Astyanax mexicanus: one gene and its partner. The protein of the gene in region 2 binds, or shares a complex with, the protein of the main gene of each other region. Links are inferred from orthologs where the notes say so. Each region holds a gene or a part of one and is shown on either strand. Other genes may lie near its edges.

What was found.
Region 1: the proteins of kelch-like protein 12 (region 2) and pef1 are in contact, whole or in part, in a crystal structure (PDB 8RBH), measured with the Homo sapiens proteins. The link is inferred for Astyanax mexicanus from reciprocal best matches to the Homo sapiens genes KLHL12 and PEF1. Residues at the interface, in NP_067646.1 of Homo sapiens: Phe289, Gln293, Arg320, Tyr321, Leu371, Glu417, Tyr434, Ile439, Phe481, His486, Cys511, Tyr512, Tyr528, Leu533, Cys558; in NP_036524.1 of Homo sapiens: Gly15, Gln16, Ala17, Pro18, Gly19, Ala20, Pro21, Pro22.

What each region holds. Positions count from the first base shown.
Region 1 is NC_064410.1:45,604,104-45,620,219, forward strand, and holds the start of pef1 (peflin), read right to left. Parts: upstream 6,087-16,116; 5' UTR 6,034-6,086; coding exon 6,016-6,033; intron 4,221-6,015; coding exon 3,911-4,220; intron 2,952-3,910; coding exon 2,796-2,951; intron 2,587-2,795; coding exon 2,443-2,586; intron 531-2,442; coding exon 301-530; 3' UTR 1-300. Other genes in the region: gjb9b (gap junction protein beta 9b), read right to left, coding at 7,862-8,680. UniProt on the Homo sapiens protein: Calcium-binding protein that acts as an adapter that bridges unrelated proteins or stabilizes weak protein-protein complexes in response to calcium.
Region 2 is NC_064419.1:47,234,086-47,251,346, forward strand, and holds the start of kelch-like protein 12, read right to left. Parts: upstream 6,656-17,261; 5' UTR 6,321-6,655; intron 3,893-6,320; 5' UTR 3,826-3,892; coding exon 3,643-3,825; intron 1-3,642. Other genes in the region: adipor1b (adiponectin receptor protein 1b), read right to left, coding at 12,116-12,244, 13,352-13,545, 13,694-13,881, 15,016-15,202, 15,996-16,167, 17,190-17,261. UniProt on the Homo sapiens protein: Substrate-specific adapter of a BCR (BTB-CUL3-RBX1) E3 ubiquitin ligase complex that acts as a negative regulator of Wnt signaling pathway and ER-Golgi transport.

The DNA of each region.
Region 1 (16,116 bases), on a different chromosome or scaffold from region 2:
TAGAATAAATCTATGGCACATCCCCAGGTTAATTACAAACTAAATGCAATTTGTTAGCATGTTTCTGTAGCTTGCTGTTTAGTTTAATTGGACACTTTAAGCGATAACTGTAGACCTTTGCAGACTAAGGCCAGTGCAAATATACAAGACACGTGCGGTAGGTGAGGTAAGTTACAGTGAAAGGCACTGTAAACAGGGATATAGACAGTGGAAACTGCAGTGCCAATTTGGCATCAGCAGTCAGTGGTCCTCTTTCACTGTAGGAATCACTCAGCTCTAATGGAATCTGAATGCAAATCTTCACATGAGTCGTGTGATGGCACTTGACAGAAAGTCCTCGTAGTTCATGCGTACGTTGCCAGTCATGGCGGTGTCCTTCTCACGGAATGCTTGGGTCATGCTCTGCAGCTGGGTGCACACCTGGATGAAGCGGTCGAGCTGGAGAGAATTATTCATGCCACGGACACAGTAGCGACTCACAAGGGTTTCAATGAACTGAGGGCTCATGTTATAACCCATCTGAGAGAGTGCTAAGAAAAGAAGAGAGATTCATAGATTAGTGCATAATGTTCATAGTGGTTGCAAAATAAACAGCAAATTCATTTTAATAAAATCATAAATTAAGCAATAGGGTAATAGGGCAGAGTTTATTACTGGCTTTATTTCAACAAATCCGATTTACAGGTAATGCAGGACTTTAAAATAATCTTTTAACATGTTATAAAATACTAGAGCCAGACTTGTTGCTTCTGAAATCACTAGGACCATGGTCCAGAAACACAAATGTAGTAAATATGAGCCGGTGCTCCCATATTAGTCTTATAAGAACCTGAAACAACTGCTATGTATTAGTGCAGATCTGATATAACAGCAGTAGAGAGTGGACTTATTACTCCCGTACAGTATACACTACCTGCTAATATGATTGCATGTCTCCTTGTCCTAATGACTGTTCCAGTTCTGTCAAACAAATATTACTTTGGATAAGTAAATAGTTCCTGCCCATTTTAATCCAAGCTTGCACTAATGTTGTGATTCATGTGTAAGCAAACCACACTATTACACGCTACAGGATGATAAGTGTGGGATGCATATGTCTAAATGTGTGTGCAACATACATGACATGCTGAATAACCAACAAAAAAATAACTTCAAAAGCCATCAAATTTCAGAAGAAATGCACACCTATTTAACAGAAAAGTAGGCTTCTTTATTTTCAGGAACTTATTTTTGGTCTCCCTCTATCACTGCTAATAATTAATAAGGAGGAGTTTAGTCAAGTTATGTCATATACATATTGGGGAGTATATATGGATGCAACACTATCCTGGAATAGTTATATGGACAACTTAATCTGAATACAATCCATTCATGTTTATACCACAGTCAGAAAACACTTGTCCAAGCCCATTCTGAATACAAAATTTGTGTGCAATCCTTTAAATTGAAGAATAACAGCCATGAAAAGACCTGTATCCAATTACATTCCTTTTGTAAAGTACTGTATGTTCTGCAAAAAAAGTCTATTATTGCTGGAGTAGGGTATGTAAGAGCAAGATATGTGGGGGCAAGATAATCTTCCTTCAGGTGACATTAAACCATGAATGTCCACCAGTCTTTCTGGACACCCCATTCAGGTTTTGTGTCATAGAACTGGCATTCAGCACATGTGCTGAATTGCTGCTTGTTGATTGCTGCAGGACATAAATATCTCTTTCTCTTGCCACTTTTCTAATAAAGTTATGTGAAGTACATTTTTTTTTCTGACTCCAACATAATTAGAAGCAATTAAAAAACAAACACATCAACTGACAACACTGCAGCTAGGCCTGTCACGATAACAACATTTTTAGGACGATATATTGACAGGCCAAACTGCAGCTCCTTTTACTCTCACTGGACTCACATAAGCTCAGTCATGGCAAAATGGACACTAAGTGGTACTCTACACACAAGCTTCATTTGGAATTGGAATACTTGTAGAGAGCATGCAAACTGAGATTTTCATCAGACTGTTGAGTAGACATGTAAACATGTCTTAATACATAATGATAATTAATTTAATAAAATTAGAGAAACAATATTACTTAATCAAGTATTAGAAAATAAAGGACATCTATAATACATTTTTGGTCTGGTGAGTTTATACTTAAAGGTACATTCTGTAGGAACTGAGAGCGAGTGTGTGAAATAGCTACAGCCCGTATTTAGCGTTATATTGACTGTGCCCTGCACGAGGGAGAGCCGCGGTTGGAGGGGCTGTGCCCCGCAGTCAGCAAAAAAAAAAAAAAAATCACAAACAAAAAAGACAAAAAGCTGAGAATGGGCCTCTAGCACATGTTTATAGACATGGCACCCACCTCTAATGCACATTTAAATAGTGGCTAATAATAAGCAATTAGTTAATTTCTGGGAAAACAATACACAGTTTTTCCTTCTCACCTTGGTGCATCTCACTGCTGTTGATGGAACCTGAACGGTCACGGTCAAACTGATTGAACACTGCTCGCCACTGCTGCAAGTACATCCATAGAGCTGAGAAGCCAAATACATCCATACGGCCAGATTTGGTCTTGTCAAACATGTCTATAAAAAAAGAGGGTGAGAAATAAATAATAATTTAGTATAATAATAATTATAATAACATAAATCATTATCATTCCCCTATATCGATAAGCTGTTTTATTGCAGTACTAGCAAAAAATAGTAATATTTTGACCAAAAAATATGCAAATCAGCAATGAAAATACAGCATGCGAATTTGACTATATTAAAACATTTAAAGCAGCACTTACTGAGCATCATTAAACAGGTCTCATCATTGAAGGCTGAGTTGTTGGAGTTGAGGAGGGCCTGCTTCAGTTCCTTAAGGTTGATGTGGCCACTGCGATCTGTGTCAACGGTCTGAAACCACTGATAGGCTTCAGGGTTAACTCCTGGTGGCATGTTACCTGGAATGCCAAAATCATTCAAGATATGTTGTCATATGGCAGCTACAAAAAACCAATGAACAGCTCAAACAGATCTGAATAGATATGAGTTTTCTAAAAAAACAAACTTAACATTGGCCATCTTTTACAATTTACACTCTGGTTACACCTGGTTAGGCTAATAAGAGTGTGTGGCAGAGCTGAACAGAATTAAACACTCAGATGTCAGTGAAGTGATGGTCATGCCCCAATGATATTCTGTGATATTCTGGCCCCAAGAGGGACTCAGACCTGTCAGTTTGGGATGAACCCAGATGGGCTGTGTCTCCCTGGGGAAGGATAATGATTGTGTTAAAGAGCCATCCTGCGACTCAAGCCCCACAGGACACAATATTACACACTCTCCACTGTAGAAAAACTCATAATCTCTCGCACACAGTCACAAAGCATTATCATGCCCATCACTCTAATTCCGCTACAGGCACAACCTGAACCAGATCTTTATAAGATGCAGCTGCCAAGATTCTGGACAGCAGTCAGGCATCAGTCATTCAGTGAGGGGCAGATGACACAGCTGCAGTAAAGGGGATGAAGGACCTTGTCTGCAGCACCTTCATAAATTCTATTTTTTTCGTTTTTGTGCACAGCCCTTGGCCACTGCAAACATGATGGAGAGGTTGAGGCTGCGAGTGTTATTTTGTGCCCATAACCTTGATGCTCACACAGACATCATCAGCCAGTTCAGACAGGATCTGCTGTCTGCCATGGCGATGAACAAGTGGAAAAAATTTGGAAGATAGATCAGGGCCCAGGGCAGTGTGATAATAACAATGAGGTAGGAAATATAGCTTTATGTTTAAAAAAATTAAACATGACATGCCAATACAGGTCTCAAGTGACTCAAATGGATTTCCATTATAAAAGAGCTAAGCCTGTTCTGAACATGATTAATATTCCTTTAAACAGCATGAAAAGTTTACCTGGAACCTGCTGGCCATATGGTCCTCCTTGAGTTTGTCCATAACCTCCGTAGGGACCTCCTGGTGCCTGCCCATAAGGTGCTCCAGGTGCACCACCAGGTCCTGTTCCGAAATGTCCACCGGAACCATATGCTCCATAGGGTGCTCCAGGGGCAGAACCACCATACTGTCCACCTGGTGCCCCACCGTATGGGGTACCTGCAGGTGATCCTCCATAGGGCCCTCCTGTGGGACCACCTGGAGGTACACCAGCTCCATAGGGGGCTCCTGGATGCTGATGGGGAGGGTTAGTCCCTGGTCCTGGATATCTCTGTCAGAAAAAGAAATTTTTTTTTTACTCTGTCGTGCATATAGAGGCATACAAAACACATACAGAAAACCGGTTTTAATTTCCCCTTACGGTGTGCACTTTTTATATACCACCATACTGCTAGATGTTCTGCGGAAGTGCTGTGTGGAAGAATTATTCATTTAGAAAAGAGACGAGTGGAATTATGCAAATGATCCACAGCTCAAAAAAAAAAAAAAAAAAAAATCCCCTGACCAGCCCAGAATGGGTCCTGGTTCCGGAATCACTTAAAGACTTAAAGAGCAGTATAGCTTTTTAAATACTGTAATACTGTAGCTTGAAGGACAATATTAATGTTTGAAATGTGTGATGTTTTATTTGTTAGCTGGAGAAGCAAGGCAATTGTGACTGATAAACAGCCATTTTAATACTTTAATGCCTTGACATCAAACATAACATGTTGTAAACTGATAATAAACTTGTGTCTTCCTTGTGCAATAGAACATTTGAGAAACATCTGTTGGAATATCTAGTGTTTTAGGTCCATTTATAGTGTGTATAGAACTGTGTTAAGAGATTTAGCTAGTTTTGAAAAGGAAGCAGTGTTAAGGTTGTTGGCATATTTCTATACAATAGTTCAATAGTTTATATTCTGTATCTGTTTTCTGCAAATGCAGACTGATTCTTTCATATAATGTGTCATTTTGTGGGAAAAAATAAACCACATACACTAAACAAAGCCTTAATTTAAAGCCTTGTTAAATATTTGTTATATATCAGCGTTCATACACTTTTAAACCAATACATTTCCATGACGTTTCCACTGCTTCAAGGCAAATATTCATGACCATATAAGTTTTACCTTTGAGTTTGGAGGTCATAAATAGGAATAATAATATATTAGGAAAATCTTTTAGTTTATACTTTTGGTCTATTATGGTAAATACAGGAGGTTTACTTTGCCCTACTTCAAGAAAATGAAGCGAATTGGACACATATCAAGAGAATGATGATTTTATCCCTTTAGAATCGTAAATCATACTAGACTTTTACGTTCTTTTACAAATTGCTAGTGATTTAATTAGTCAGCTAATAACAATCCGAAAGTGTTTAAGTGTTAAGCAGTTTACAAAATGAACTATCTGCATCAATTTATTAAATTTATTTATTAATTTATTTATCTCTTGTAACTGACACGCCCCCAACTGGGAAACTCTGGGCTTATCTAAAAATCACACTAAGTTTACCACTGGTAAATACGAGTTTGTGGTGGCCTTCATGTGCTAAATACGATCTCCTAAATACGATATTTTCGACACGACTTGAAGGCAGCATTAGCCACAAACATATGTTTAAAAAAGCAGTCTTGCAATTAAAATATCGTGTTATAAAGTTACTGTAACACCGTCAAAACAGTGATATAGATTTTTGGTCATACCGCCCAGCACTAACCTAAGCTAGGGAAAAGCAAGCATGTTTATAGACAAAATGAAAATACATTGTTATACACTCGTTTCAGAAAAGTCACAACCAGTTCCACATCTAGACAACATAAACTAGTTAAAACTGTCTTTAGTTTCCTTAAATTACATTTCAGGGCATGTCCTGGTACTACAGCACAGACTAGCTAGCTAGCATAGCTAACTAGCTAATTAGCTGCCAGGCTTAAGTACAGCTCAAGTCTACGGTAAATAGCCTATTTCTAGTTACACAGGCGTTTATCTGCCTTTTATTGAGTTAAAAGTTAAAGTATTTAAAGCTAAATCTACTGAGGAAATGTAAAAACAACCATTCCCCAACCCGGAACCCTCTCTACCTGTCCGTAGAAACTCATCTCGCTGGAGAACTTCGCTCAGCCTGCCCACGACTGCGTCACTAAGGACCCGCCCCTTCGCCCGGATTGGTCCGTTTCACTGTTTGTCATGTTCAGCGCCGCAGTTCTCCCCTCTGATTGGTTAAAATAATGGAAACTTGATGACGTTCTACACCGTGAGTCATGCTCACTACACAGAAATAACGAGATTTCCCCACAACATGTATCGGTACAGGTCTGTGTAAACTACACACTGTGATGTGAGTAATAGTAGTAAAAGTTAATTTAATCTCATTATTTTATGATACTTTTTAAGGTAGTAGTTGTGACTTAGTAGCTCAAAGTAATTACTAGTAATTACTAAATAATGAGATATTATCTCAAAATAATTACTCACTATCTCAAACTATTTTTTTACTATCTTAATATTTTAAAATAGTATCTCAAAATAATGAGATAGCAGTTTACATAATAATACATAATACAAAAAGAGCTGATTTTTTTAAATTATTAATTTAGTGGCAGGAATAGGCTTTCGTAATAATATGAGGAGAGGAGCAAAGATGATGTGATATTTTTTATGTAATGGTTAAAGCTTGTATCACTTCTTAGTATGTTCTTATGTGTAAGAACACTTCTTGTGTGTATGTTTTATATATATATATATATTTTAAATGTTTGTTAATTGAATAAAAATATTTCACACATGTTCTATTTTGTATTTTGTGGTTTTCATTGTTGTGAAAGAGTGAAATTACTATTTTTAAATTCTCTATTTTTGTAGCTGAAGATAAAAAAAAAACTTTTTAAACCTCTATGGCACATATTTTTGGTTACTACACCTCTCCATACCATATTTTATTTAATTATATATATATATATATATATATATATATATATATATATATATATATATATATATATATATATATATATATATATATTTATATATATATATATATATATATATATATATATATATATATACATTCAAATTTAAGTTTGCTATATCCACAGGAACTTCCAAGTTTCCTAAAAAAATGTTTACCATCTTTTTAATCAGCTTGACCATCAAAGACCAAAGTACACCATCTGAAAGATATGTGTGGTATTAACCCTAATAAAGTGACAGAGCACAAGTTCTTATACAAAATAATTTTTTTTATTGATAATTAATTTCTTACAAAACATACATATGTACATGCATTTAAATTTGTATATATTGTAAACATACAGTCCTGAATAATAAACACAATAATTCCATCATTTTCCAAAAAAATATTGTTTTTCTGGATTTTTGAGTGAATTTAGCATTTTGTTGGTTTACTATTTGGTGTTACACAAAACAGGACTTCACATTCAGTCAGATAATTTAAAACCGTATGTCTTTTGCTACTGTATAGACTTTATTTCAGTTTAAGTTATCTGGCTAAACACAGAAATCAGAAATCACCAGAGGGATTATATAAACATGTTTCTGAAAAATGTTTAAAATGTTTTCTATTATTTTCTTATGTGTGCACCAGGGGGCAGTAGGTACCTTTAGCAAGAAAGCAGGGGCCTTCACCTTACATTCTGAGGTAAACTGCATGGAAGATTTTATGTAACAAAAAATGATGAAGCTCTTTTTGTATAAAAAGACATTAGCCTAACAGCACAGCCGAGACTACTGCGGAGGTCTTAGCCAGCATGAGGTGGACCCTTGATCACAGAAATCTCTTTTTGAGCAGCAGTCACACAATCCTGTTATTAGGTATTCCTCACATGCGTCTGCATGAGTATTGTCTTTTTAAAAATTAACTTAACTTTATAATCTTTAATTATGGTCTGTCATGTTAAATCCGAACTTTCAGATAACAGAAGCACTCATCTCAGCAGTGGCCTCCTCTTTCTTGATGTTGCTGAGGTTCTGGTTGGACGAAGCCGTGGGGTCCACTCTGATATACCTAGCTCTAGATCGAGAAACAACATTAATCTCATTCTGTTCTGCAGAATACAAGAGCTCTCTCTCCTTGTGCTCACGGTATAGCTTATGTGCACGCTTGCACACCAAATAGATCATCTCTAAGATGCACATGAAAATGCACATAGAAGAAGTGACCACCATGAAGTAAGTGAAGATCTTCTTCTCAGTTGGACGGGAGATAAAGCAGTCCACTGTATTGGGACAAGGAAACAGGCTGCACTTGGACAGCCTGGGCATGTCAAATCCGTAGATGTGGTACAAGACGTAGAGGAAGGCGCAATCAAAGGATGCCTTGAATATCAGACTGAGGAGGTAGGTGTACCACAGACCCCCACGCTTCTTTCCAGGGTTGGAATACAGGGCTTTGCCGTCTTTATGTAAGGCCTTGTACTTCTCATTCTTCTGTTCTCTATACCTGACATGGGCCACCACCAAGAGAGATGGGCAGGTTACAAAGATCAGCTGCAGAGCCCACAGGCGGACGTGAGAGATGGGGAAAATGCTGTTGTAACACACTGTTGTGCAGCCTGGTTGGGCTGTGTTGCACAAAAAGTCTTTGGCCTCGTCCCCCCACACCGGCTGCGCAGCTACCGCAAACACCAGAAAACGGAAGACGAAGACCATAGAGAGCCAGACACGCCCAAAAACCGTAGAGTATTGGCTCACTCCACCAAGCAGAACCTCCAGGCTTGTCCAGTTCATTTTTTAAGCCAGAGGACAGCAGCTCCTACAGTAGAAAAAAAATTTAGTTAGTTTAAATATATTATTTTATTATATAATGTTATATACTTAGATCACTATAAAATCTGAGCACTGTGCTGTAATTTTCGAGATGAAACAGTACATATACAAGGGAAGATATAAAGTGTTTTTTTTTGTTGCGATTTTTTTGTTGCAATTAGTTTGAATTACTCTAACACCATGAAATAGGTATTAAACTGTCCATCCATCTATCTGTCTGTTCCTCCATCCAATACTTTTGGGATGAATTGGGGTGATAATCCAATTATACTGACCTCACATTAAAAGCAATCAAATCCTTAAAGCAATGCTCCAAATTTGTGTAGAAAGCTTTCCCTGGACTGTACAAACAGTTACTCGCAACAAAAGCAGGATAAATGATTTATAATAACCTTAATTTGGGAGGAAACAACGAAGGGTAGCAAGTGTCCCATAAAGTTGTTTATAGTGCATATAGTGATAATGGTTTTGTAACCATTTATTTTTTCAGCTTTTTCTTTTGTTCATGGTGTAATATACTGCTCAAACTGCTGTACATTATAAAAATGATAAACAAGGCTGACTGCATTCAATCCTGATTGTGTTTAGTTGACAAAACCTCATTATCAGTTAAACTAAGGGGGCAATCGCTTTTTTACATGGCCAATTCTTATCATTGAAACAGATGCCACTAATATACGTGGATATAAAAAGTGTTCACACGTCTGAACAAAAAGTTCAACCTTTGTTTTTACAGACTATAACATATTTTTCACATGCCTTTAGGAGAGTTCACATGTGTTTTTGCAAACTTTAGCTGGGCTTGGATGATTTTCTTCTTTAAGAGGCTTCCGTCTTGCCATCCTACCCCATAGCCTAGACGTATGAAGAATACAGGCTATTGTTGTCACATGTAGAACACAGCAACATGCCAGAAATTCCTGTAGCTCCTTTAATATTTCTGTAGGCCTCTTGGTAGCCTCCCTGACCAGTGTTCCATGGTATATCTAATGCCTTGAACATTCTTTTATACCCGTCTCCAGACTGATGCCTTTTGACGATGAGATTCCTCTGATGCTTTGGGATCTCTCTGTGGACCGTGCCTTTTCCTGTAAGTGGTGACTAAGAAAATGCCAGGGAACACCTACTATAACAGCTTAACTTATTTGGGATTAATCACAGACACATTAAATGACTGTAGGTGTGTACTGATACCTGTTTGAACAAAGCCACACCCTCAGTTATAAGAGGGTGCGCACACTTATGCAACCACACTATTTTCAACATTTTCAACAGTACATTACATTACATCGCATTACATTATATTTGAAGATGAACTGATACATTTAATGGGACATATATGTTATAATATACTGACATGCAAAAAGTGAAGTTGTCTTGTGAGTGAGGACATAGAATGCCATTCCAGCCACAGTAGACAGTGCAGTGGGTGGTAATGATCATGACAGGTGGTACCTGGCTAGAAGCAACTCTGGCAGAAATCAACGGGCATAGCTAAAGTGCACTGTGCTGTAATTTTCGAGATGAAACAGTACATATACAAGGGAAGATATAAAGTGTTTAATACACCGATATTGCAAAAGGCATGGGATGAGTGAGTGAGGCATTACCACCTACAGTAGACAGGACAGTGGGTGATATTGTCATGATCGGTGGCATCTGGCTAGAAGCAATTCTGGCAGAAATAACTACAGGAGAACCCACAAGCATATCCTACAGGTCAATACTGTGTCTTCAGCTTCTACAGCACATGCCAAAGTCATCACACACAAGACTATTTCTTAGTTGTTGTGTATCTTATGGCTATGTGTCAAAAATGGAACAAAAAACATATAAGCCATGCTTAAAGCTTGTTCAGTTAAAAATAATAAGCAATAGGTTCCACTCTCTGACTTTCTGTTTTTAAGCACACTAGCATTTTTATTTTATTTTATTCTATTTTATTTATTTATTTTTCATGACACACATCAAGGATACTGAATCCAATTAAAATCTTTCTCAAAGCCGAAGTGGGATGCATCTCAAGTTCCGAATCTTCTAGGTTTCTGTTTCGCTGTCTCTGCCTCACAATGTCAGATGATTTCCCAGAGGCTGGGATGGGGCTGGCTCTGCTTTAGCAGAAAGCATGGATGGAGGGGGATCTGTTTCTCCTTGTTTGTGCCTTATTTGTGCTTGACAACAGGTCTACACTTAGTATTCACAAGGGTGACTCTGTCTCCATTTGAGCGTCTATTAGCGTGCGGCAGGACATTATGTGCTCAGCAATTTCCAATGAAGTAACTTTGGATAACTATTTAAAAGTGGTATTTACCTCGCTGTGTCTGAAAGCTGTGGGAGGAAAACAGCTTCTTAGAATGCAGACGGAAGTGATTGTGGCATTCTGTGTGAAACACAAATGCTAGTCTGGACTTGCAAGCTGACAGACGTTGTTTTGGCTCGGCTTCAAATTCTACAAAATGTTTTCTTAAGGATCCGGACATCTAATCTCTGTTGCCAATCGACTTTTTTTTATGGGTGGCATTCTCAGACACCTTATTAAAAAACTAAAAAAAGAGAACAAAAACCCTTTTTTATGTTTTCTTTTCCACTAAACTAAAGGAAAATAAGTAACTAATCTGTATGCTCCTTTAATGCTCAACACAATCCCACTACTGCGTTTAATTTTGTAGATAATGTGTTTTGAGCAGCTCTGTGATTCCTCAAAACCCACAAGAAAAAAAATATATTTCTGTAATCCTTTTAACAACTTCTTTCTCTGCTTTTTTTTTCTGTAGATCATTAATAAACATACACTGTTTGGGGAAAACTATCAAGACACTTGTTTATTCACTGTTGCTTCTGAAATATTTTAATGTATTAAAAAAGGATTGATCATGCTTTTGTTGGAGAAAAAGCATGTTTCTACTGCCCATGGAAGGCTTTCTACTACATTTTGGAGCATTGTGTTGAGAATTTCATTGCACTCAGCATCAAGAGTCTTGTCACTGAATGCAACTATAACAAGTCACACTATAGCAACAGGTCTGCTGGATAACAATATAAAATACACCATTGCATTACATTTTACAGTTTACAGAACTGTAAATTCTACCAATTTAAAATGACAAAGCATAAAATATGAAAATCCTACCTTTATAAGGTTCTGAAAGAGGACATGATGAGGGCACAACCACAAAGCTCCAGTGTTTGTTCCTGATGCAAACTAACCTGGTCTCTGATCTCTCAAAGCTTTCTGCGATATAGGACAGGTGGGTGGATGCTTCCATATCCAGTTTGACAACTTTGAATAAAAAAAAACTGAGATGTTTACTTCTGTTAATGATGAGAGTCAAATGAAAGAGTCAAAATGAAACTTAATCCAAATTTCACTTTGAATAGAAAGTAAAAGAGTTTTAAAACCCGTCTGTCAACACATTCTCACCATCAAAGAGTTACAACAACACACTGTTATTGTATTGCCAACCAGAGCAGCTGCAAAAGCAAAAGCAAGGAGTAGAAAATGTTCTAATGTCTCTTGCTTTTGTGATTTTAACAATAGCCTAAGGAATGCCTTTGTTTTCTTTAAGCAAATGAAACTGTGCATACCTATCAGGTCATGTGTCTTATTCCTCAAAAAAAGGTCATATAATATTTTGTAATCACATGTCAAAAGCCATGGGACAGGTACCATTATTAGATCTAATGTCGTTTGGCATGACCCATGGAAGTTAAGAATGCTGCAATGACCGGCTGGATATGTGTGTGGATCTGATTGTTGACATTTCTGAGTTGCTGCTCTGTTTGTGTGGACAATTCTAGTCAGTCAATGCCGGTCATGATCAGTACCACTCACTGCCCTCTCTACTGCTGGTATTAATGCCTTCTGTGACACATTTCCAGTACAGAGGAGTGTGTACACACTGTGAATGAGGAATGCTAAATATTTCATATTCCGTAAATTTCCCATATTTCCACTGTCAGGCCTCATTTAAAGTATAATAAATGCCATAAGCATGCCAGCCAGTGTTCAGTCTTACTCACAAGAGATCCCCTTACAACTTACAGTATACAGGTGTGACCTTTTCAAAGCCATCTTCACCAATAGTCAAAAGTCTTTATGATCAATTTATACACTGCTATCCCGTGACATTTGGCATGTCAGTATAATGTAGCTTCACTCACTAGAATTTTAGTATTTTTAACTTTTTTATTTTTCTACTAAAAAGATTTAAGAAAATGTATTAATGCTTGCTTGTCTGTATTTTGTGTTAGGCATTATTTTATATGGACACAATTTTAAAACACTCAACGTTTGCTATAAGATGCAAGCAGCTGGGATGATATTGGCCACAAAGATGCAAATTATGATATTTGAATGTAAATGTGTGTGTGGGAGGGTGTGTCCTACTTCCTACAATATTTGTACAAGTGAGTAAGCAAGAGAGAAAGGGTAAGAACAGAAGAGAATGAGAACTTGTGCTTTAAAATGATTTTTTTTTTCCAATAAAGGAACACAAAAGGTCAAATATCAAGTCCACAAGTGAAACCTGAGACATTCTGATTTGCTTTAAGCAAAGATTTCTACAGGGGTTGGATGATGAAACTGAAACACCTGGTTTTAGACCATAATTTATTGTCCTGACATCCTCCCGTGATTTGGGCAGCCGTGGTTTTAAGTTTTTTGGATACAATCCGGGTTGGCACCCGAACATCCCTTTCAGACAGCTTCTTCTTGCATCCACAGTTAATCCTGTTGGATGTGGTTGGTCCTTCTTGGTGGTATGCTGACATTACCCTGGATACCGTGGCTCTTGATACATCACAAAGACTTTCTGTCTCGGTCACAAATGCGGCAGCAAGACGTGCACCAACAATTTGTCCTCTTTTGAACTCTGGTACGTCACCTATAATGTTGTGTGCATTGCGATATTTTGAGCAAAACTGTGCTCTTACCCTGCTAATTGAACCTTCACACCCTGCTCTTACTGGTGCAATGTGCAATTAATGAAGATTGGCCACCAGGCTGCTCCAATTTAGCCATGAAACCTCCCACACTAAAATGACAGGTGTTTCAGTTTCATTGTCTAACCCCCGTATATGCCCACTGCAATGGAATGAAAAAGAAAAAGAGAAAGTAAAAAGAAAAGAGAGAGCAAAAGAAATAGAGAGAGAGAGAGACAGAGAGACACCCAGAGACATACTTCAAAGAGTACTAAGCACAATATCACTGCAGGCCATGAGGGAAAGGACAGAGCAGGTGAGAGGACAGTGTGATTTGTGTTTACGCTGCATCATTTCTTTCTACCTGAGGCTGGTGGTGCCATGGCTACAGCGCAGTGTGCTGTGGGTGTATGTGTAGGGATTATTGGCAGACTGTTCCAGGGAGCCTTGTGGGGAATAATTGGGTACATTTTCACCTCACTGTCACAAGCAGCTGCTCTTTTAAAGTTTAATGCTCCACTCTGTCAACTTCTTCTACTTTGTACCAATCTATGTGTCAGTGCACGTTTAGTTTTATATAGTAAAATGTTTGTATATACAGTAGTATGTACTGTATGTAGTCTCATAGAACTTTATGTAGCAATGGTACACTGACGTGTTATATGAATGTATGGAGTCTCTGTCATTCCACTGCTGCTACTGCACTATGTAACTTTGGTATAGCTATTAGAAATAGCTAGCTTGTTCCTAGAATAAATAGGTCAGTAATAACTTGTTAGATGCTCACTTATCTCGTGTAGCTTGATGTGTTTATGACAGACAGAGGCTTAGCTGCTAGTTAGCTTGCTAGCTATCTCAAGATGGTGCTAGCAAACTAGCAAGCTAGATAAACTCTTGGCCATTATTACAGGTAATTATTGCTACCTTACTAGCTAACTGTTAGCTAGCTTACCACACAAGTTTAAGTTGTGGATGTGGATTCCCAAATTAATTTAGCTGACTTTAACTGTTCTTTTCATGTTCTTTTCATCTCCTGTCATTCCTATAGGCTGCAGTTGAATGTTGGCAGTATGTAATGTGGCATGCATGTCAATAAATAAATGATACATGCATAAATAAATGAATTAAAATAATTCTGAGCATGCCTCTTTACTACAGGACAAGGTGGAGCTTAAAGTGCTATTCGTATTAAAGACACTAGTCTTAACTAAAAATGCAAAACTTTAGCAGCAAAATCATAATAATTAAAAAAAACCCTATGGCTTTAACAGTCTGGCTTGCTTAACAGCTGGCTTGCTTAAAATACTTTAGCGAACACTATACCCACAGTTTATGACATAAATATAAACAATATATATATATATATATATATATATATATATATATATATATGTGTGTGTGTGTGTGAAGACACATACACTCTACAAACTAAAGGTTTTAAGAAAGTCAACGGAAAAAAATCACATAAGTGAGTAAAAATAAGAAAAAAAATTACATTTACATTTACATTTAGCTCTGGTTTCCCCAGACAGAGATTAAGCCTAGACTTAGACTATCTTTCCTTTAAATCGGCATTCAATATGATGTGTAGCCCAAAACTAGGCTTAATCCCAGGCTTAATCCCAGTTTTGAAGTCTCAAACTAGCTGAAATTCTTGAGGTTCGACACTTTAATTAAAAATGCTGGATATAAGGGTTATTTTTTATTTATTTACTTATTTCTCAGACAGTAACAATATGTAAGTACAGACATACATATTCAGGCTACACAATTTGCATTACATAATTTTTTTCTATTCTTTCCTTCCTGATAATAAATGATGTAGAAGTGCAGCGGCTCTGTGCCTTTGTCTTTTTGGCCTCAAAAGTTTTACAAAGAAATGCCATTAGAATTAAGATTCTGAAGGGCATATCGCTATTAAACATGCCTTCAGCTGTGTCATTATGAGGGATGATAGCGTCTGCACCGGGAAACTAAGAAAAATCCAGTCACGCAACTTGGTTCATGTCACCAGGGCACCACTAGAGAGGGCTGGAGCTCCATTCCATTCCCCTTGGTGTCATTTCTGAAGAGGACTGGCCACTGCTGCAGCTGTGGCTGACGGAAACTGCAGTGTAACGCCGATCTGGAACCTTTTCCACAACGAAGGGGGTAAAAATTCCTCCGCTGAATAACTCTTACTATTATCGTAAGCAAGCTGTGCTGTGAGGTAGTGCATTCCTTAATGCCTCCTTTTATAAGGCACAATCGATTCTCCGTTGAAAGACATCATTCCCTGAGGTCAGCATTACCAACTCACAGCACCTGAGACAAGTGAGGAAGGAACAAAATAAAAAAAAAGACCCAACACACCTCATGCAAAATGAATGAACCAGAGGCTGCACCGGGCAGACCAAGGTAGTGGATTGGAGACGGCTGTTCTCAGAATAGTGTGCAGGAGTGAGTGATGGGGATTTAACGTCTCCGGAAAACTTGCT
Region 2 (17,261 bases):
AATCATCTTTCTTGTCTTCATTTTATATTAAATAATAATAATAATAAAATGTAGATAATGTTTCCAAAATGTTTAATTGTATTCATATATTAAATGCAATCATGTCTCAATTTCCTTATTCTCTTCCTGCTTTTGTATTCCCCAGGGTTCATTCTTCCGAACTACACAAGTAAACCCCATTTTATGTAATCTGTGCTGATTCTTTGGTTTATTTACATGTGCAATGTACTATTTTCCTTTAGTTGATTTACATGTGTTCTGTACTTTGTTTTTCTGTATGTAGCCTCTCTATATTCTGATATCAGTCTTTAAAGTTATATATCATCTCATGTTTGTTGTAAAAATAATAAAGCTGTTGCAAATAATGTGGTTCCTCTTTCTTAATCCAAATAATTCTGCATGAAATATTCAGGTGGTGACTTAAGAATATTTGCAGATCTTTGTATCCTTTGATTAAATTATTTTTGCAGTAAACTCTAAATATATGCAAGCCAAAACTTCTCCATCTTCTTTTGAACCTAAAATTTTACTTGTAGCGACTGCATTTGCACAGTGTCATGAAATTAATATTAATTAACATACAAATTTAGCCTATAAAAACTCTCTTATGGATTACAATATTGGATTCACACAGAATAACATAAGCCTTAAATAAGTCAATATATGGTCACAATAATCCTCAATGAATTATCTATGTATAATATATATATATATATATATATATATATATATATATATATATATATATATATATATATATATATATATATATATTATTTCATTATACATAGATAATTCATTGAGGATTATTTATATATTATTATTAGTGCCCCAAAATCGCAATTCTGTCTCTGTGTTTATGGGCTCAAATTTCCCACCAAGAACTTCCTGGAACTATCTGAAATCTCCATGAATCACGTGACCATCAAGGATTTTGAACTTCCGTTGTCGCGACTCTCTCTCTATGGCTCTGGTCCAAACTACGGCCCGCGGGACATTTGCAGCCTGTTTCCTTTTTTGGAATGGTCCGTGAGGTATTTTAGAAATAAAATGAAAGTTGACTCGCTATTAATCAGGTTTTTATAAATGTGAGATTTAAAGTTTAAACGCAAGGTGTCGCTATCTCATAAACCCAAATTTAAACGCTCATTATCTCCTTTCCTTCCTTTATTATGCCTGCATTAATGTTCCTGGCTTTTGAGAGAACATGGCAACTCCACAGAAATGGAAAATCGACAGCGAATTTAGAAGATTTCAGATGCATTAGGAAAATTACTATTTTGAACTAGAGTTCAGAGGGAAGTGTGTTTAATGTTTAATCTGTCAGGAATTAGTTGCCGTAATGAAGGAGTATAATATTAAAGAGACATTATGAAACAAAACATCAATTTGAAAAATCTTAATTTACACAACACTGTCAAAAATAAAGATAGTCAAGTCAAGTAAAATGGTGTGTAAATGATAGTAATTAAAATATATATTATTATAAGTAGTAAATTTCATTACTTGATTTATTACAGTCTGTAAGTCTGTGGCCCGTGACTGCACATATATTTCTCCTTCTGGCCCCCAACAAGAAAAGTTTAGCTTTTGGAAAAATTAAAGCATTATTGTTTGAATATTATTATAGTTATTGATGTTTTATTATAGTATTATAACCTGCAATGCTGACTCAAGCAGTTGAGCTGATTAGGTTTTGGGAGAAGCTGCTTCTTTCTGCACAATTCCCTCATTTTCTTTACTTTGTACCTTTTTATCGGGTGAAAAAATACCAACAACTCCAAACTGAAGGTAGAATAAAGCAGAGAAGCTAAATAAACTTAAGATTCTGAAGTATTCTCTTATTCAGAACATCAGTAAGATGATCAGACAGAGCTTGTCTGAATTTCTGTTTAAATTTATCTCAAACTGATCCACAGACTGTTGGTCCACCAACCTGTTCCACTGCACCCACTAGTGGATGAAGATAGGAGCACACTTTAACAAATATAACAAACATCACTCAATTTCCTTTGCCCCAAATCATTTCATACAGAGGAAACATGTGAAATTCTAACTATACAATTACCATTTAAGTACTTCTCATTATCTGGATTTTGCTACAATTTTGGAAGTGATTTTTTTATTTTATTATTTCAGGGATGCACCGAAAGTTCAGCAACTGAAATTATTAGGCAAAGAATGGAGGAACAAAAGCACTTTAGGTGTTCAAGTCAGAACATATAATATAGAACAATACTGTGCTTTGTTACTATGTCTGATGGGAAAGTTACAAATGTTATTGTGCTCAATAAATATGTTTAAACTGTAGTTTTGAAATTACTTTATCATTTAGGCTATTTAAATTATGCAAGGTAAAAAAAGGCAAAATTATTAAGAACTGACCAAATTTTTGGTCACTTTTAAAAGTCCAAATAAAATGCAACATCTATTGTTCTTGGTATACAAGTATAAGCACACAATATGGCCTGAGGACATTTATTATGAAGGCCACAATAGCAGCTTAGCAACAACGGCTAACAGCTAACTGTCCGAGCTGAATTAATAGCTGTTTTTTAATAAGAGGTCGATGTCTTTGTGCTGGTTGGATTAGTAGGTTCTGTGGTTTTTATTGCTGCTGGTATCTAAGGCTATGTTTACACAGCAGGTAAGAGTGTCCCAAATCCAATTTTCTGACAAATTTGATATTTAGTTGAGGCTGTTCACGCAATCTTTTTAATTTGACATCTGTATGAACGTTTCTAGCTTTGTAAGTGGCACGCAGTGCAGTGCTTCACGTTAAGTTTCACTTTAAAATATATATGTTAAGTTTCAAAGGTTTTCACTCACATGTACACCTGTACTCTGTGATTTGACAATATAAATATTGAATCTTGAATCTTTATTTGCAGCAAAAATCTTAAGAGCTATGAATGAGTTCAGACTGCAGCTGAGTTTATCACTGAGAATTCAGTCCAGCTCACTGAATAGGTTTTTTAACCACGGTCAGGATTTTATTTATTTATTTTCCTTTAAAGCTGCAGCCATGATCTATGGCCAATTTATTAGAAACAAATTGTGACTGCGACAAGAGGCGTCTAATAAGCCGTCTAATATTTTTAAAGAAATGCATTCATCTAAATGTAATAAAAAAAAATAAATAAATAAAAAATGTCAGGTTCAGTGTGTTATTTTTTTTGCTGTTTACACAGCCACACAAAAAACACACCCGAGTCTCATTTGATGCAATAGATAGGATTTTGGGCCACTTTTACATTCTTTGTTAATGTAGCCTATTTATGTCATGCTATGATTTGGTGATTGCGGTTACCTCACTGGTGAAGGATTTTATTTATTTATTTTCCTTCAAAGCTGCAGCCATGATCTGTGGCCAATTCATTAGGAACAACGTGTGACTGCAACAAGAGCCATCTAATAAGCCATTCAATATTTTTAAATGCGTTCGTCTAAAGGTAATAAAAATCAAAAAATAAAAAAAAATGTCAGGTTCTGTGTTTTTTTTTTTTTTTTGCTGTTTACACAGCCACACAAAAAAAACACCTGTGACACATTTGACGCAATAGATCGGATTTTGGGCCACTTTTACCTTCTGTGTTAATGTAGCCTATTTATGTAATGCTATGATTTGGTGGTCGCGGTTACCTCACTGGTGAACATGGCACAGAAGTAGTCGCTGCAGGCGGCCAGGACGATGCGGTGGGCGGGGAAATCTGTGTTCTCCACCCTCAGCGTGATGTCACACAGCGTGTTGCTCTTCCTCAAGGCGTTCATGGCATTTAAGATGGACTTGGCATGGGAGTTGGTCATGATGTCTTTGGGCGCCATGGCAACTGGCGAAGGGGGAGAGCGGCACGTCCACAGGCAGTGCAGGATGATGGAGCTCGACTCGGGTCTGTGATCACAAAACAACACAGACTAAGAGCTCTGAGGATAATAAATACACTCACACACATGATTAATGGTAAGAATAATAACACATACTGAGACGTGCCTCTATAACAAACATAAAAAGACATATGCAATTAAAAGTTAAAAAGGCTACAGGTAGATTTTAAATGCTCTCTGAATACAGTTCTAACTTTGTGTACACTATACTACCAGTACTAACTGCTCCTATATGTGCTCCTATCAGTAAGGCTGATAAGATAGACAGTGATGATAAATAACATTGGACATAATATTCTGATACGACTGTGTGTATGTACAAATATATCAAAAGCAAAACACATTTTTCTAAAAGCCATAATGACTATAAATGTTTAAATATTAAAATGTAAATGTTGATAATATAATTTGTGATGTTCTACGCTGTTCCCTGTTTCAGCTGCATATATGCCCCATTGTAAATGTATGTATTTTAGTAGAATGTAAATATATTAAAGGAAGTTTAGTTGGACTGGAGTTTATCTGGAGTACTCTCGAGTCTCTGCACGGATCATCTTCATACTAGGTTACATACGTCTGCTATGTTCTTGCTGGAGTGTGCGGGGCGTATGGTGTGCAGTTGTGATAGATCACAGTATAAACCAATAGGGTGTCGAAATGATTTATGTTTATACTTCTCTACATCCAATCACAATCAGATTCACTCTATCTGGATGGAGAGATTTATCTGGATAGGGTTTTTATTGAACGATGAGAAGCCGGAATGAAAACCAGCTAAAATGATTTATTTTTTTCCATTTTTTTAAATCAAATGTAAGGAGTAGACAGTTCAGATAATTGTGTAAAAATGTAAGAAGTAGAAGTAAAAAGCCAACTGTATAAATACAAAGAAAAGAATGCATCAGAAAACAATGGAAAACATTGCAATGAAAAACATTTAGTTAACTTCACAGTAAACTGTAGTAATGACACAAATCTCATGAAAACACTGAGAAAATACCAAGAGTGTGCAGATATGTCCTTAAAGATAAATGTGCTACTTAGAGGAATCTAAAATATAAAACATATTCTGGTCTATTTAACACTAAATAATTCAGCATGTGTTTCTGTATAGCTTTAATACAGTCTTCAATATTAAATTTACAATGTAAAAAAATCATAAAAACAGAAAAGCAGTGGCTAAATTTGCTGAAATATTGCTTAAAAACATGAGCAGATAGCAATGTGTAAATTAGCTAGCTACCTAACTAACCTTTCTAAATATATATGAAAATAACAAACATGTTTGTTCACACAAGTTGTGAAAAAGCACATTATTTCAAGAGCCTAGATAAAAAATTACATTACATTAGAAGTAGATATAATAAATCATAGTACTTTTACCAGTTACATTTGAAGGTAAATAGTTATTTTTTTACTTTTACTTACTGAAGTGAAGGAATAAAGAAAGGACTTTTACTGTAACATGAGTAATATTTTACCTAATTTAGCTTAGCTAGTTAGCTTACATATCTCTACCTGGTGCAAATAGTGCTAACTAAGCTAAGCTAGCTAGCCCAAGTTAGTTAATACAGCTAGATATCTTAAAACAACCCACGTCACTATTTATTACTATAAACTGCCTTTATAAAGTTAAACCTGCGGAAATTCCTGGTGAACATGGGCACTCTTTAGTAGCTAACATTAACTAGCGAGATAGGTAGCATTTGTGCTAGGTTAGCAAGCTAACAGGCTAACTGGCTAAACACCGTTTCTGGTCATTTAAGCTAAGCTAAGCTAAACTAAGCTAGGTATTACCTGGATCCAGTTACAGTTAACAGTAGATACTCCACCTAAATATCTACACAAACTGAACACCTTTCTGAATATATGAAAGTAAAATAAGTATTTTCCCCCCAAATATATGAAAAAGAATATTATATCCACAATCTTGATTAAAAAGATAAAGCTACTTTATTACTTCTACTTGGGTACTAAAGTGGGGGAATAAAGAAAAGACTTTCTGTTACAGGAGTATTATTTTACCTAGCTTAGCTTAGCTAGTTAGCTAACGCTAGCTAACCTATCTCTACCTGGTGCAAATAGTGTTTACTAAGCTAAGCTAGCTAGCTCAGGTTAGCTAACGTTAAATACAGCTAGATGTCTTAAAATATCTAACCAAACTATGTATTATGTATAAATTAGTATCTATTATTATATTAGTGCTAGGTTAGCAAGCTAACATGCTAATACTGTTTCTGGCAATGTAACGTTAAATGAGCCAAGACAGTTTTTACCTGGATCCAGTTAGCACCAAAGCTAACAGTAGATAATTTACCTTAATATCCACACAAACTGAACACCTTTCTGAATATCTAAAAGTAAAATAAGTATTTTTGCTCCCAAAAGTTATGTAAAGGCACATATAATAAAATCCAAACCCTGGTTAAACGTACCGGCAGCAACAGCAGCAGCGGAGGAGTGAGACCAGGCGAGCCGGGGCTCCGTGTGCTGTAAGCGGTTAGTCAGCGCTGCAGCGGCCGCCCACAGAGCTTCATACTCCAGCCACGCTCTCAACCTCCGCCCGGTGCTCAGAAAACCACTAAAACAAGGCAGGAACCGGCGCCCTAGCTCTGAATACTGCAGCATATATATATATTATTCCCCAGTTCTCGCTGAACGCGCTGAGGTTTGAGTTTTTTAAGTTATTTAGTTAATTAAAAGCTGAAGTTACTCCGGCTGTATGTTTTTAATGCAGGGCTCTCACGTCCCTCAGCAACACGATGGCAACCAAAACACTGATACGCCATCACGTACACGCCTGACGTGCTGACGGCGGCTCTGGTAACGCCCACCATAATAATAATAATAATAATAATAATAATAATAATAATAATAATAATAATAATAATAATAATAATAATAATAATAATGATAATAATAATAATAATAATAATAATAATAATAATAATAATAATAATAATAATAATAATAATAATAACTCAGTATAGTTCCTAGGATCCTGCAAAATTCCTTGTTTTACGTCGTATCCTGTAGGTGGAGTAGCGTTTAAAACTGGAACAGTTAAAAAAAAAAAAAAAATAATAATAATAATAAAGAATTGTATATTGTAAAAAATTCTGATAAAATTATGGTTTAAAAAAGGGGTGTTTTTTTATCGTGGTAACATGGTAACAATGAATTGGTTAGCAGCTTACAGCTGGTAAGTATCCAAGAAAATAAAATGAGCTTTGGGAAATGGATTTAAAATAAATGTCAATTTCCGAAGCTAGAAACTAACTAGCAAAAGACACAGAAACACTTTAACTGTTTAACTATTAAAATTAGAAGTCTTTTCTTAAGAGAAAATACAGATGAAACAGTGAGTACTGTTTCCTACACCTTCACAAGACTCGTTGAAAATGGTCTGGCTGACCCACATGGCAACAGCTTTCGCCTTTAGCTCAGTTTCAGCAGGGAGGGAAGGGAAGACTTTCTCTTGAATGGATTTTCTTTTGTTTTTCTAAATTGTAGTTTTTCATGAAATCTGAATTTCAGGGAAGATAAAAAATATATTTCGACTATTAGATTAACCCATCAGATGTTTGATAGAAACTAACAAAAATATTTTTTACTTTAGCAAATGAAAAAAAAATTGTTTTCTTAACTGACACCGTTACACTGAATAAATTGATAACATAATGTAAAGTGATTGGCCAATGAGACCTTGGTCTACGTTTGCGCCCTCTGGTGGATAAACTAGATAATCCTATTATCACATTATTACACATACAGAGGAATATTAACCTTCACTATGAAGACGCTTGTTGCTGCATGTTCAACTATTAATAATAATATTTTCTCTTAATATTTCATAATCATATGGTCTCTGTATTGAGCGTAAAGAGGTAAAGCTTAACTTTTAGTCCAGCCTATCGCTGCACAATATCACAGTAATTATTATAATAATAAAATTTAGAAAATGTTTTAAAAACAGAACAACAATAGTCCCCATAACTGATTTAACATGTCTGCAACTCTGGTTCAACCACCAGCTTCTGAATATACAGCTCTGGGAAAAAAAGATACCACTTAAAAATGATGAGTTTCTTTGATTTTACCAAATTGAAAACCTCTGGAATATAATCAAGAGGAAGATGGATGATCACAAGCCATCAAACCACCAAACTGAACTGCTTGAATTTTTGCACCAGGAGTAAAGCAGCATAAAGTTATCCAAAAGCAGTGTGTAAGACTGGTGGAGGAGAACATGATGCCAAGATGCATGAAAAACCAGGGTTATTCCACCAAATATTGATTTCTGAACTCTTAAAACTTTATGAATCTGAACTTGTTTTCTTTGCTTTGTTATTTGAGGTCTGAAAGCTCTGCATCTTTTTGTTATTTCAGCCATTTCTCATTTTCTGTAAATAAATGCTCTAAATTATAAAAGATTTTTATGTGGAATTTGGGAGAAATGTTGTCTGTAGTTTATAGAATAAAACAACAATGTTCATTTGACTCAAACATAAACCTATAAATAGCAAAATCAGAGAAACTGTATCTGTATTTGGCGTGTTGGTCTGGAAATAAGGTGTATTCAGGAGTATTGCCATCTTGGCCACAGAAAACATACATGGAATGATTTTTTTTTTTTCTTTTTTTTTTCTTATTAGCTACCAAGGCAGTTTTTAAGCATTTCTTTATAGTAATTTCTTCATTTGAAAAAAACACAATTTGTAATTATTTGGTCAAATTGTTTTTTTTTGCTTAAGAGATACATCTTGACCAAATTATTGTACAGGAAAACATCAAACATCCAAAAATGTATATAAGAAATTTCAGTTCACAAAGTGTATTGGTCACAAGAAAACATTTACAGCAGATAAAGACATTCACATCTTATTCCTATTCCCTTTAACATCTAAGAAGTGGGACATAAACGTCCGTAGAGTCCAGAACCTGTAGGTATCACTCCAGGACACGGAGAGTGATCACCCGGCGGCGTAGAGGAGGAGAGAGGTAGTGCTGTTCAGCTCTCAGTGCAGGATGACTCTGAGATGAATCTGAGTCTGTTACGATGGACGTTCTGAACCGTGCACAAACATTTAAAAGGAGAAATCTGGTGTGAAATGGACTTGGGTTGTAGTGAAACATAAAAATGAGTATGAACTTTTGTTGAATAGCCCATCTCCATTTTTCCCCTGCATTCAGAAATACAGCGCTTTAGCTGATGCTCCCAACATGCTTACAGTACCAGTGATAAGGGCATAGAGTTAACCATTGAATAGGAAGGATAGGGGAACAGGATTGGAAAACTAATTTCCGTGGAAATCCATTAATATGATATAGATATATTTTTAGCAATTGCTGGAATTCATGCATGCATTTCCGCAAAAATATATATTTTTTCAATCTGTTCCCCTATCCTACTTATTCGTTGGATCGAGAAAAAGTGTACAAAAATTGTTTTAATAAACTAAATGAAGGTACTGTGTGTATAAACAGTGTTTTAAACAAATATCTGTGCACTCTTAAAGCTCTCAGTGCCTCGTTTTAAATATCAGGGCCCTCAGATTTCTACCAATGAAGTGTGAAGCTACTTTGAGTTTGTTAATGCTATAAAAACAAAAAAGCCATTTCTTGCATTTGCATGAGTAACGCTATGCCCCTATCACTAGCACTGTAACTTTGCATTTACACTAGAACGCATCCCGTGTTTGTCCTTGCAGGCGTTTGTCCTTGGGTGTTAAATCTCAGTGCATGCATGTATCATGGTCCAGCTTCCAAAAAAAAAAAAAAAGAAAAAGAAAAATTGCATTGCTTACAACTGCTTTGTATTGGCCCTACAAAAAATATTATTTATTAAATGCGTGTTTGAATTAAATATGTATTTGGTAACTAATGTTAGATCACTGAAATGGTTACAAATAAATTGATTTTAATAAAACATGCTAAATGTTTTTTTTATATTTAACATTTACCAGGCCTGTCACGATAACATTTTTTTGTGCACAATATATCGTCCCAGAAATTATTGTGATACACGATATTTGTCATTTTAAGACCATTAAATGCCACTGATATAAATATAACAGAATGGAATGAAAAAAGCAATCATACCCTTTTAAAGACAACAAAATTTAAATTAATCATAGTTTGGGAATAATACTTATTTCTTCTCTTACTGCAGTTCACACTGTGTGGGTGAAGTCACAGTTATTAAAACATTGGTCAGTTTTTGAAGCAGTATTGACTAAAATTCTGTTCACAGTTTTATATATGTAAACAAGCATACAAATTAGCACAATAGACGATATCACAATTATCAAATATTATTAAGGTAATGTCTATTTAATGTACGATAAATCGATAATGTAATTATTGTGACAGACCTAACACTAACCATCCAGTCATTTTTAGTCGCACTTAAAAATATACATTTTGGAGGGAAAATATGGTATAAATATGAGGAATCGCTTGGCCACTTTATTCTGCAGAAATGCGAAAGGAACCAAAAGTTCCAAAGAAATGCTAAAAACCAGTCGGGTTAGAATGTCGCTTCAAAGTTGAGGAAATTGTCGCTTGTGTTTTGCTCGACACTCTGCTGCTTCTCACGTGTCGCAGCAAGAAATCGCACCCTATCATAGGAATGAACAGGCACCTGTTGCTTTGTCGCTTTCCAGTGTGAACGCAGGATTAGCCTGTTGGGAGCATCGGCTAAAAGCGCTGTATTTTGAAATACTGGGGGTAAATAGAGATGGGCTATTCGACAAAAGATCATACTTGTCATCATGTTTCACTACAGCCCAAATCCATTTTATACAAGATTTCTTATTTAACTGAGCTCTGACATTTTTTATAAATCACAATTTTTAAGTAATCATGTTCTGTAAAGCCTCATTCACACACAGTTTGATTTTTACAAGTAAATGTCAAGTTTTTAAAATGACTGAAACTGACTGACTGTGATGGTGAGCACTAAATAAAAAAATATCAGAATCAGAAGTAAGTATGTGTAAGTATGTGGCGGTTTGGAGCCGAAAGGCTGGGGAATTATGACGAGAAATTTTGACAGACACTTTATGGAGTAGTCATTTTACATTTAAAAAGTATTTTTAAGTCTAGGAGCGTCTGAGTCTTCTATGTTCCATGAAGAAGCATAACTACACTAAAAGCCCTCAATTTACCTCAATTTATCTGTTCATCTGTCCTATCCATTCGCTTCATCTCATAAGTCGACTTATTGAGGTACTGTTTGTATAAACAGTGTTTTTAATAAACTATCTTTGCACTTTTAAATCTCTCAGTGCCTCGTTTTAAATATCAGGATCCTCAGAATTCTAGCAATGAAATGTGGAGCTACTTTCAGCTTGTTAATAGTGTAAAAATGACCATTTTTTTGTATGGGTTACTCTATGCCCCTGTCATTAGCATTGTAAGCCCTTTGGGAGAATTGGCTAAAAGCGCTGTATTTTAAATACTGGTGGTGGACGGAGGAGGGCTATTCAACAAAAGTTTGTACTCGTCATCATGTTTCACTACAACCCAAGTCCATTTTATACAAGAGTTCTGAGATTTTTATAAATCACAATTTTCAAGTAATTATGTTCTGTAAAGGCCCTTTCACACACAGTCTAATTTTTACAGGTAAATGACAAGTTTTTAAAATGAATACACAGATAATTATGGTGTCAGAAATTGACTGACTGTGATGCTGAGCACTAAATAAATCAAATCAAAATCAGAAAAAAATAGAATCTTATACTCGATCGATGTGGTGGTTTGAAGATGAAAGGCTGGGGAATGATGGCGAGATCTTTACAGACAATTTACACACATTACAGGAGGAGTAATTTAAAGTTTAAAAAGTATTTTTAAGTCTACAAAAGAAGAGAACTTTACTAAATGCTCCCCTCGTTAATGAGCACTTGTGTGGAGGAGTTAATTATGCAAAAGTGGACAAGGAGCAGAGAAACAGAAATCGTGGACATTTATCAAGAGCTGTGGAGTTTTGTTATTCGCGTCTGACCAAAAAAAAATGCGTGAAAAAGTGTGAAAGGGCTTAAATACTCTGTAAATCACTTTACAAACTTTATAACTTATTCACTAGAATAATTTAAAAGAATTAATATTTGATCATGGTTCAGTGTGTGGTCGGCGGCTGGTCTGGTGGTCGATGGCTCTTTCCCAGCTGTGGCTGATTCAGGGAGCCACAGCTGGATCGAGGAGACAGGGGAACGGAGTTGTTTTAGAGCAGGGAATTGTCGGTGCAGCCGCCTCCCAGACCGTAGCGGAACTCCTGCAGGTTGGAGATGCCGTAGAAGTGGATGAATGCTGCAGCCACAACCAGTACATGGAATATCTGATGGGATTGAAACTGTAGGAAAAGGAGAGGAAGAGAGAACGAGTGAGTGAGAAACAGAAACTGGGTTTTTAATTTTTTTTTTTTTTTTTTTTACCCAATTTTCACATAATTTTATCAGAGCCAGTTAATGCCATGTTTATAATACACAATTTTAGACCAGTTTTCCATTCGCCTACAGTTTTTTGGTAGATGTGAACTACTAATAATGCTTTTTTTTGTTGCCCTTGTGGTTTTATTATTACTCATAATATATTAAATGAGTTATTAAAATTTTCTTGCACTTAAAAACTCAGATTACCATATTTTTTTCACTACGAGGCCCACTTAAAATTCTTTAATTTCACCAAAAATCGTCAGTGCACCTTGTGTATGAATTCTATCAGTCAGGTATTAAGGAGCAGTAAAGCCACTCTACTGAAGTACAGAGTTATACAGGAGTTTCAGTTTAGTTCTCCAGCAGCATTAACATTACCTGCTAAGCGCTAGCTCTTTGGCCGTCCAGAGGTGAGTATTATCTGCCTGTAGCCTGCTGCTAACCCTGGCTAGCACTGCTGGAGCAGCATTAGCATTACCCACTAATTGCGCTAAGCGCTAGCTCTTTCACTGTTCAGAATACTTTATGTTATTCTATAATTCGCATAATACTTTTTAATTATAAATAGATAGAAAAATAGATTTTTGTATTAATCATTTAAATTGATTAGTTTAAATAACTATGCTTTTTTCAAGTAAAAAGAAAAAGTGTCAAAAAGCCTGATAAATAGCGGGATTCATTATTATTATTATTGATCATTACAGGCACTAAAAAGTGCAGAAGCACTGCACCGTTAAAATAGCAACTGCAGCTGGGTCTAAAAGGGAATGTCAAGTAACACACTGATTGGTTAATTTCACATTAAGCCCAAAACACTCCCATTATTAATTAAGAGAATTAGTACATGCCTTTTGTGCATTTCGAGCTGCGCAAGGTTTACTTTTCCCTTCATTACGATAGCAAAGACACACTGACACGCCCTAAGTCAAGCTGCACGGTGCACGCTTAACAGCTCACCTATATATAAAACTAAAACAGGGCCCTGAAAATGTTATACTTTTAAACACTCTGCTTTAAAAGCTTACCCAGATGTCACATTTGCCAGGGAAGAAGCGTTCAGGGATGCGTGCAGCGTAGAGTCCAGCTCCAGTTATGTACATGGCGCCCATCAGGATGAACCAGCCCATCTGGCCCACTGTGGTGGCCTTCACAAAGCCCTCAGCGATGGTGAAGTGCATTGTGGGAATGACGCCGCTCAGCCCCAGGCCAAGAAACACACCTGTAGATACAAAGACGACTCACATTAATCCCATGTGTACGAGTTACACACAGGGTTGTGTGTATATTATCCACACATGTGGGCTAAAGTGTATGTAAAGAGTGTGTGTGTGTGTGTGTGTGTGTGTGTGTGTGTGTGTGTGTGTTACCTGCACGTGTAGGCCGGTGGCGCGGCGTGGCGAAACGGTCCCACTGTGCCACAATAATGGCAGAGATGCCCAACACACACACCACAGAGAGGTAGATGAGCCGTGGTTGTGGGGAACAGTAGAAGGAGTAATAGAGCCACGGAACAAACGAGCCCATTATCAGCAACGCTATTCCAGAGTAATCCAACCTGAACACACACAAAAAGAAACAGGACGTTTATAAATATGTTACCTATCTTATCCCAAAGCACAGGGTAATGCATGTCAGGCACAGACTCTTTAAAAGCTGTGTAAAGTTCCCTACAGAACTCGGTCTATCCTTTACTTTAACTCATAAAGTGACATATAACCTCCTGAACATCCTGAGAGCATCACTGCAGAACAGTGTGTGAATCTGTGTTCCTTAATATCACCTTATTAAAAGAATGTAGCTCCTTTTAAAAGTCTACATTTTGCCTCAACCCACCATTTTAACAATTAACATGCTTCAATTAAATGTTTTATGTTCCATAAAACAAGCTCTGACCTGAATTTTATAACAAAATGTAAAAAAAGGCATTTATGTTACTGTTTTAACTGTAAATATTTACATTTGTGTGCCTGCAATGATAAGAGAAAAACACGAAATGATCTTGCTCACTGAATTTGGCAGATTTTATTTTAGTTGTCGGAGATATTACAGAGCTGCTTTATTCTACAGATTAAATATTGCAAAAGCCATTTTCTGCACAAACTCATAAAATGATCAGAATATGCAATCAAATATTAAGGAAACATGTTAATATTGGCAATGCATTTCATAGATGGAGAAACTTGGAACCCAGAAGGACTACAAGACAGGTGCAGAGCTGTTTGTTTTCTTCTGAACAGGTTAGCACCACGGCTGCATCTATCAATTATTTTAGTATCAAGTATTCTACTGAAAATCCTTCAATTAATTGAGTAATCAGACAAAATATATTTAAAAAAACGCCTAGTTAGCACAGAGCTTCAGATAAGATAAGCTAACGTTAGCTTGGTGTGCAGCTGAATTATCAGGGTGTGCAGTGAGTATTTGAGATAGGTAAAGGTTGAGCTGCTGTCAGTCACGGTGGACGAGCGGACGAGCCACAGCTTATTTACTTACCTTAGATGCAATGGGAATATAGAAATAAATAGACAGAAATCAAAATTCTGACTTTATAATAGCTCAATTTAGACACAGGTGTTATTATACGCTGCCATGGACTTGTTTTAAGTTTGTTTCAGTGTCCTCAATTTTACACACCTGCTCTCAGTTAGAACATATTGTTCCTTTAAAAACAAAAACTCCAAACCCTCACTTTGAGAACGTTCTGGAGACTTTCTCCGAGTGGCAGTAGACTGTGTGGAAGAGCCAGGAGAAGCAGAGACAGAGCACCGCACCCAGGAAAAACATCCCAAACACCACCTTCTCCTGCAGAGGAGCCATGAAGGACACGTTGGGCCGCAGCATGGTCAGGGTGCCCAGAAACAGGAACAAAATCAGACCTGAAAACAACAACATGATCTTAAATATATAGAAACACAAAAGAGTTCTCCATGCTTAAGGCCCAATCCTATTTCACCCCTTGGCCCTAGCCCTTACCCCTAGCCCTCGTGCACATCAAGGGGTAGGGGTGTCCTGATTCTTCTTAGGCTGGAGGGGTACATTAGGGGGAAGGGGTAGGGCTTGTTAGCCCTTCTTACATAGATTTTTCAGATGCACATTTCAAACCGAGAGGTATTAGGATCACTGGTAAGATGGCAGATCAAGCAACAAAATAAACCCACAAATTTCAATATTTTCCCTGTTAAAAGTGACTATTAGCATTATATTACCATAGTTTAATGTGTATTGTCAATGTTTTATGGCTGAATTCTTCATAACAAGCTTAAAAAAAGATAGTTTAGTAATAGTTTGTCTCAGTAGCTAGCTAGCTAACTTTCCCGTTCCACCTTAAATGGAGCAACAGATGGCATAAGCTGCGGTATTTAAGGCGGAATAAAAATACAAAATAAAATAAAAGCTGATCAAGGCTAATTTCAGCTCTCCATCACAAAGGAATAAACAATAATAATTCGTTTCACCTGGGGAGAGGTATCGAGGGGCGCAGCTACAAATGAACACAGGTGAAAACACTTAGGTGGAGACACGGGAGAAACACACAGGGACACGTGCAGGGGAAGGTAATAAAACAACACAGAGACAACCAGGAAAGACACACAACAGGACAAGAACGTGACAGTTCTGGGGGTATGAATACTTTTGCAAGACATTGTAAATGCAGCACTAGTTACTGACCAAGCATATGTGACCAGATGTTCCCTGTTTCAGTGTGGATCCTGAAGATGCTCCCGAAGCAGGCTCTGAATGATGGCATGGGCGGCCGGTGGCCGTGAAGCAGATAGTCGTTATCTTTCAGCCAATCAGGAAGCAGCTGGTACGGGATCACTCGCCAACGCCCCTCCCACACCTGGATAGAAAATATGGTCAAACATAGGACGGCTAGTAACGTCTCATTCCTGTTTAGGTGGATCTGGAATACGCAAAAATGCAGATGATACCATATTAAGATAATAAAACCTGTTTACATCTGGCATTAACATGCATCCTGTGTGATCCAACAGCAGATGTTTGAGGAAACTCATATCCATTCACAGCTTGTGATTGTATTTCTCTAATTAAATTAGCTGGAGGCATTTTAACATGCTCAGCTAACCCAAACAGACTGTGGATGGTGTGATACTGCATTTACCGTATTTTTCGCACTATAAGGTGCATTTAAAATCCTTTAATTTTCCCATAAGTATATATAAATTCTACCAGTCAGGTATTAAGGAGCAGTAAAGACACTCCACTGAAGTACAGAGTTATACAGGAGTTTTAGTTTAGTTCTCCATTCAGAGGTGAGTATTATCGGCCTGTAGCCTGCTGCTATCTCCAGCTAGCACTGCTGAAGCAGCATTAGCATTACCCGCTAACTGCGCTAAACGCTAACTCTTTCGTCATTCAGAGGGGAGTAAATCGGACTGTAGTCTGCATGTTTACCCTGTTAAAACAAGCTACATGGAACTAGCGGTTAGTGGCTAATGCTCCAGCCTTAGTGCTGGAGAAATTTGGGAATCTAAGCTTCCTGTAAATAAAGAGAGGTACTTTCCTCACGCATATAAACAGTTTTAAGGAGAGAAATCTGTGTAGAACATCCAGCACTCGTGTTACTGTGTCGTATTGATTATTGTGGTTATAACGTATGTTCTTGCATGGAGCATGTGATCATGGTTTGATTAATGGGATTACGATTCTCGTCCAGACACACTGTATCACCTGTACTTTATTCTGCACACTTATGATTAATCAGATTACTTAGGAATGTTCATAATACCAGGTATGAACACGACCTGAGAGGAAGGATCAGGATCCTAATTTATCATTACATGTCTGACACTGATGCTCACATGCAGTATCCTGTAAATATTAATTCTTAAATTTGTCTACCTTGTGCACAAACTCCTCCATCTTCTCCATGGCATGGTGAGCCTGCAGGGGCAGTGTGACGACCCGCAGGCC